2 linked regions of the Lytechinus pictus genome follow. The protein of the gene in region 1 interacts with the protein of each later gene in a pairwise test. Links are inferred from orthologs where the notes say so. Each region holds a gene or a part of one and is shown on either strand. Other genes may lie near its edges. The genes, in order: DNA primase large subunit-like and rho GTPase-activating protein 8-like.

Region 1 (3,600 bases):
TCAAATTCGCGCATGCGCCCTACACCCTCTCGAACGGCCATTTTGCTATGAATTTTGAAAGAAGGAGAGCCACCGCGACAGAACTGATCGTTTTTTGAGGTTCCAGTCTGTGCCTCGATGTCAGGAAACTGCCACTCGTTAGACTATCATCCATACAATCGTGGTAAGTGCTTAATTTCTGTTTAAATTATGTATTATGTAAATGATATTGACCAAACTTCACGGTACTCTCACCTGAATGCCCGTTTGTACACTGCGCGTCTGGGCTCCAGCCCGCTACGCGGGCTGGAGCTCTCTGGGTTAGCCCAAGGTATGCAATTACTTAAGTTATTTATATTTCCCTGATAATGGAAACCATGAAACTTTCAATTTTGCTTAAAAAACAGTTTTAAATCGCGATCTATAAAACGCTAGTTCACTATACGTTGGCTGTAGGTACGGGGCCCCATCCCCTTCAGTCTATGTATGGTGAGTGGAGCCAACGTAAACTAGTTCAGCGGAACAACCAAAATACAGAGACTGAAGCTTTTGGTCTAATCGTTCAGTAAGTTTCTTCTCGTATGACTTTATTTTATAAATCGACGGTCTCCTCTACTCTGTCGAGCTCTTGTGAAATTCGCGGGAGTTTGTTGCAATTTTGCATGCGCTGTGCCTTCAATTTACCTGTACACGACGGCAGTAATATACACCCATGGGTGCGTTTAAACATAACTTAAGTACGACAATACACCAGGCGGTGGACTGTACTGTTTCAGAAGAAGAAGAAGGCTTCAGAATACGGGCCTATATTTCCCACGTAGACACTCTAACTTAGATTACAATGTGTGGGACTGGGCTTAACGCTAGGGGACAAAATATCAGGTGAACTCACTTTAACACTTTTACTGGATCTCCGTATTTATCGTAAACCAATGATTTACAGGACGGAATCGATGAGAAGTATCTAAATTCTAAAAATGGTGCACGCAATGCTTGAAATCTTGAAATGTTCCCTGATTTTAAAATCCATCTCGCACATATCTTGAGGCTCATGGGCGCTGCCATCTTGGATTTGTGTTTGCGGAAGTGGAGAACACCCTCTCGCGGTTGATTTTGGCAAACGCGGGAAATTTAGTACGGGAAACTTTCGGCACAACATTACAATCTTTTTCGATTGATTCGAATTCACTGCGTGTGGCGCGGACCACTTTTAATATTTCTTCTGAAGACAGAGAGGTATTTCATCCAGATTTATCATTAACATGGAATTCTCAGAGAACACCACGAAGAAGAGGATCAAGAAGGAGTCGTTCATTGACAAAACCAAAGAACCCCATTTGCTGTTTTATCGGATTCCACCAATTGAGAACATTTCCCTCAGTGAATTTGAGGATCTTGCTAAACGAAGATTGGCAGGTAAGTCGGCGATTTCTTGCTTGCAGTTTTCAAGCGCAATGTACGCGCAATTCCCATGATTGTTTGATAAAATAGAGACACCAATAAATGCAATAACTTAAAAAACATAGGGGCCTACTTTTTATATTATTTTTGCTGACGATAATTAATACTTTTTGGAAAATATTGAAAGCGATGACAAATTAAACAAAAAAAAGAGAAAATTCTACGGACCTTGAAATTTGAATGAAGCCCGCAAGAGCTACCCTTCGTTTGTCAATAAATCATAATGTTTCACCAAAGTCTTTACAGTAAAAAGACTGGACACTTTGCCGACTTCGCGTAACGCTTTGCATCGATTTACGTGTAAAATAGTTTTTGTGCCTAGTCTTTCCCTCTACTTGTACAAGTTGTACTATTTGTACTTGTAGTGTCTTTGATATGAAGATAAATCGCACGCCCTCTTTAGCTAATTAGACAAAAAATTTGGGAAATAGAAGCAAACTCCGTATTTTGTCAACGAGAAGAAAAATCAACGCTTAAATGATTGAGGGATAGGCTATATCATATTAGGGGGAATTGACTTCACATCGTTCGGTAAGTTTCGTAGGACTTGATTTTATAAATCCTCTTCTGAAATTCGCGGGAGTTTGTTGAAATTTTGCATGCCTTCAATTTTCCTGTACACAGCAGCAGTAATGCACCCATGGGTGTCTCAATGGCTGCCTGAATTGATGATGCTCTGGAGCAGAAATTTAGGCTGAAAAAAAGGGTCGAGCGTGGCACATACATGTACATACAAACAATGGCATGCTGAGTAACCCCCCCCCCCCCCCCCCCCGGGACGAAGAGTGCAAGAACATGATATGAAGGAAGTTAAAATCGAATGTGTTAGGGTCCAGACTCCAGGTCAATTTTTTTTTTTTTGGGGGGGGGGTGAATGTACTATTCTCACAACTGCCTAACGTTAACTGTTTAGCCCAAATGTTAAAGGTCTAGTCCACACAAGAAAAATATTGATTTAAATCTAGAGGAAACTCCAACAAGCATTTAAAAAAATGCTGAAAATTTCATCAAAATCAGATGAAAAATAATAAGAAAGGTATTTTAAAGTTCAACTTATTTTTCACAAAATAGTTATATTAACAAGTCAGGTCTAGATCTCACTATAACATAAGAAAAGTAAAAAAAAATAATTATTATTGTTGAGTGATTTCCCTTTAATTTTGTTTTTTTAGTTCTGAAGCATGTTGAGTCTGTTGGTATCCGGCATGTCAAAGGAAGTGAGGAGTATAACGAAAGAATGGACAAAGAACTAAAAAAATTGATGCCCATTGCCCACAAGAAGGTATTGTAAATATTCACAACTGTTTAATAGTTCCAGAGAGAGAGAGAGGCCTGATTTTCATGAATCTAGTAATATTTCAATGATGATGATGGTGCTGATGGTGATGATGATGATGATGATGACGGAGATGATGGGGAGGGTTTGGATAGCATTCACAGAGAGAGAAGGGGGGATCCTGTAATGCATGAACTGAGTCATAATGATATTTTAACTATGATTATGATAGGGATGATGATGATGATGATGATGAATTGATGAGTATGGAGATGAAGAGGATGAGGGGGTGGAGAGGGGGGATACTGTGATGCATAAACTGAGTCATAATGATATTTTTACTATGATTATGATAGGGATGATGATGGTGATGATGATTTATAATGATAATAATGAGGATTCTGACAGTGATGATGGAGATGATAAAGATGATGATGATGACTGATGATGATAAGGATGAAAATGATAATGACGATAGTGGTGATAATGATGATGGTGACGATGATGATGATGATGATGGTGACAGTGATGATGATGATGATGGTGATGATGATGATGATGATGATGATGATGATGATGATGATAGCAATAAGGGATTATGAAGATGGGGAAGGCGATGATAGCAGTCAAGGGTTTACGATGGTAGGGTGGGTGTGATGATGATGCAGGAAAGAGACTATAGGCCTATGGTGACCGCAATCATGATGCTAACATGTTGCTGCTGACTGTTGATGATGCAACAACTTTCTCACAGTTATGCTCTGGAACCCAAGCCACAAACAACCAAACAAATATTGCATCAATGTTTAATAAATAAATATTTTCCATTGTAACTTCTTTTTTTATATTCTACCATGACAGATGAGTGGGGAAGACTTGGCAGC
Region 2 (3,600 bases), on another chromosome or scaffold:
TAAGCCCATGCTTGTACAGTGTGTATTGATAAATGAAAAACAAACTTTATCATAGACACACAGGCATCACTTCTTCAATGATGGTGAACTTTAAAATACACAAAAGAAGACAAATAAGAGGTAGATTAAAATAAAAGTTAATCTTGGCATGCTTCAGTCACCATGGATATTTTCCACAACAGAGCTTGCTATGTCCAAGTCAATTATTTACTGTCCTCTTATTGAAAGTTCTCTAATTATTTTCTTGAATAATTCAAGTAGGTTCATATTGCACTTTTACAATTGTGCAGCTGTGTGTTCGAGTCCATCATGGAACATAATTAAAGCAAGAAAAGAACATTAATCACACATAATTTTTTATTGATAATAATAGTAATCAAAGCTCAAACAAAAAATGGAAAAGAGAAACACCAGGTAAGGGAAGTACGTACATGTATGGTTGAGTAATCAGAAGAGAGGAGTGTTGCAGACAGAAGAGAAATTAAGGTTGAAAAGGGGATTTTATGAAGAGAATGAGTAAGTTTATAGAGATTACTAAGAAAGAGGGGCGTGGTATATAAAAAAGCGATTTAAGAGGGAAAGATTGGATGTTACAAAAAAGATGCAAGGGAGAATGTTGAGACAGATTTAAAGAAGAGAAATTGATAAAAAGCGATACCGGAGAAATGGTAAACATCACAGATGTCTTTTTGGGTGGTTGGGGAGAGATGAAATCCCGTATGAAATCGAATGATAAGTCCAAAGGCATTGAAATATGAGGAAGTAAGAGAATATTCGAGAGACAAAACATTGTTTTCTGGGATTTCCCATTGCGGCTCTGTCAAGATATATCGATTTGTGTCTGTCCATAATTGGTCTGGATTTAAACTTAATGAATATTTATATTTTTATTCCATGAAAAAATGAGAAAATATCCCAGGGGAAAATGTTAATTATTAATATTAAATTAAGGAAAAAGGGTGCGTAACGTGAGCTGAGAAATTGCGAGCGGAAATTTTGCGTGCGTCCAACAATCAACATGGCGGACATTGTGACGGCGAAATCAGCAGTAGATGAGGAAAATGGAAGTGGGGATAAATCCAACGTCAGAGACATAAACAAAGAAGATGACAATGCTGGAAAATCATTCGAGGATGGTGATGGTGCAGACATGGAGGCCACATTAGATACAGAAGAGGAATTTGGAGGCGATCCTTTGAGCGATGCCCAAGTGTTGAGTGAGTTGAGTTCACTTCAATCAATTATGAATGACAGTGACCAATCATGTCGGGTTCCTCCGCCGGTTCCTCAGCCTGAGGCTGCGGGAGCGGGATCCCCTTCTATTCCGTCGCAGCCAGCAGCAGCTGGCACCCTGCCCTGTCACGGCCACGGGTGCTGTACTGCACCGTGTGTGTTTTTGTTTTTTGCTGTTGAATTGTATCAAAATATAGGACACCGTTAGGACAGATCTTGTTGGAAAATAGGATTCCTTTATTTTTAGCAAGGCTCGACATTAGCGGTGGCCCGGGGCCACCAGAAATTCACCTCGGGCAACCATTAATGAAAAAATATTATTAAGTTTTGGTGGCCCGAATCGGGCAACCAATAATTTTCAGAATAGCGCAATTTTTCTCCCCATTTTGCACGCATTTATCAACTTTCTACAATTCAAATTGCAAGCCAGTTCGTCATGTGCCCTTTTTGTTGATCTACACACAAAGTTGGCCTACCGCTATAGCATTAAGTAGCTTTTATCCAGCCGGCTGTGCCGGCCGGCTGGCGTGAGCTTTGCATGCTTGAAGCAGCTGTGCGTTAGCAGCCTATTCAGACTCAGGGAGCTGCAATACGAAATGTTGCTGCTAAGAAATCTTCCACAAAACTGTGAAAATCCAAGTCAAAGTCACATTTTACACCAATGAAATGCCCTTCTACAGACCTTTTTGCTAAAATCTGGTGTATCCTGATTATTTGCAAGCATTAAAAAGAGGAATCATGACCTCTCTTTTGACTCAAAAAGACCGATTTCCAAATGAAAATAATACACATAAAAACACATAGGCGAGTACATCACAGTCCCACATGTGCATTTGTATGTATGTTGTTAGTGTTACTTGGTTTCTTTCGAAGCTGTGTCTTTTCCGGTCTTTTCTTGCCAAAAATAAACAGACAGTTACTTTCTTTCTTGTTTATAAATGATTTCTTAAACAACTCTTGAGAAAGTCAATACTTTGGGAAGGCATTTCATAATATGAAATGTGAATTTTTCCAACATTTTGGCAAATTTAGGGAAGGAATTTTCTCACACTTTTTTTTGCCGTTTTATTATTTTCTTTCATTTTTTTTTACAGTGGTTTAACCATTTATACCCATTTATTCATTTTTTGTTTTTCTTTATATTTTTCGGGCCACCAAACTTTAATATCGGGCCACCAAAAAAAATTATTTGGAGATTTTGGTGGCCCGAACGGGCCACCACCAAAAAAAGTTAATGTGGAGCCTTGCCTTTAGGAATTATCAAATATCATGATATGACTCTGAGAGACACCAGTGAGTGCGTTAATGCAGTTTCGCACTGGCAAGTTGGTTGGTTTTTTATATAAAATAATGCAGTTGTTGTGTGTCCGGACGATCAATTTTAGAAAGTCATTTGGAAAAAATTACAAGCGAAGTTTCATCAATTTTTAGTACAAAATGTTAGAAAATATTATAGAGAACAAAATAGAAGATGATTACAACTATTGAATTCATATTTTTAGTGTAATCTTAAGACAAAAAAGAAGGCTTCAAAAATATAAAGTGTCCGGACACCCGACCCCCCATCCTACTCTTGAAAACCAAATGTCCCAAAATTGTATTGTGAACAATTTCGGCGTGGAGAAATTTGCTTGAAGTCGGCTGGTACAAACTGCATGCTGCATTAGCGCCAGTGGCACTTTGATTTGTGCTGGTGACAGTCAGTAAAAAAGACAGTATCTTTACACATCACATGAGTCATGACATGTTCCACTCATTTTTTTTTCCGCTAAAGTAAAAAAAAGAAGTGAACACTGAAAGTGGAAATGCGATGAGCAGAGTTCCTCATGAAAAATTACCCCTTTTCATCTACTTTAAAAATTTACTGTCTACTTTTGTTTTCTTAAGCCAAGGATTTTTGTTGTCATCCATTACACAAAACAAATGGGCTCCTGACCTCAGACTCAGTGAGACAAAAAAATATCTTCTTGGTTGTTGGTATTGTTTCTTTTATACTCTTGCAAAGCAAGTCTCCAAATATGGGAGATTGTGTCCTATGTCATGTATGTTGAACAACCAAAAAATTACACGGGGGCGGCGGGCGAATTCGCCCCGGAAAGTCCAAAAAGAGCCTCGGAAAAGGGCTAAAAACATTCACACGAGGGCGACTGCAAAACTCATAATCGCCCCCGTCAACACTGTGTATTTCACAGTGGCAAATTGTCCATAGACTGTGTACAAGGAATAGACCGTCTCGGCTCAGCGAATCGGAGACCGCTGATTGGCCAATCGCGCAGATCACGTCATGACTACATCTACGTGGTCGCCAAAATAATTCCTTCGGACTGCGTGCGAAAGTATCGATAGCGATATCCGGTCACATTGTCT

The links.
Region 2: the proteins of DNA primase large subunit-like (region 1) and rho GTPase-activating protein 8-like interact in a two-hybrid assay, tested with the Drosophila melanogaster proteins (2 studies listed by BioGRID). The link is inferred for Lytechinus pictus from reciprocal best matches to the Drosophila melanogaster genes Prim2 and RhoGAP68F.

What each region holds. Positions count from the first base shown.
Region 1 is NC_087261.1:23,515,891-23,519,490, forward strand, and holds the start of DNA primase large subunit-like, read left to right. Parts: upstream 1-1,094; 5' UTR 1,095-1,241; coding exon 1,242-1,395; intron 1,396-2,612; coding exon 2,613-2,722; intron 2,723-3,577; coding exon 3,578-3,600. UniProt on the Drosophila melanogaster protein: Regulatory subunit of the DNA primase complex and component of the DNA polymerase alpha complex (also known as the alpha DNA polymerase-primase complex) which play an essential role in the initiation of DNA synthesis.
Region 2 is NC_087263.1:10,185,645-10,189,244, reverse strand, and holds the start of rho GTPase-activating protein 8-like, read left to right. Parts: upstream 1-993; 5' UTR 994-1,018; coding exon 1,019-1,217; intron 1,218-3,600. UniProt on the Drosophila melanogaster protein: Functions as a GTPase-activating protein (GAP) for RhoA/Rho1 during gastrulation by converting it to an inactive GDP-bound state.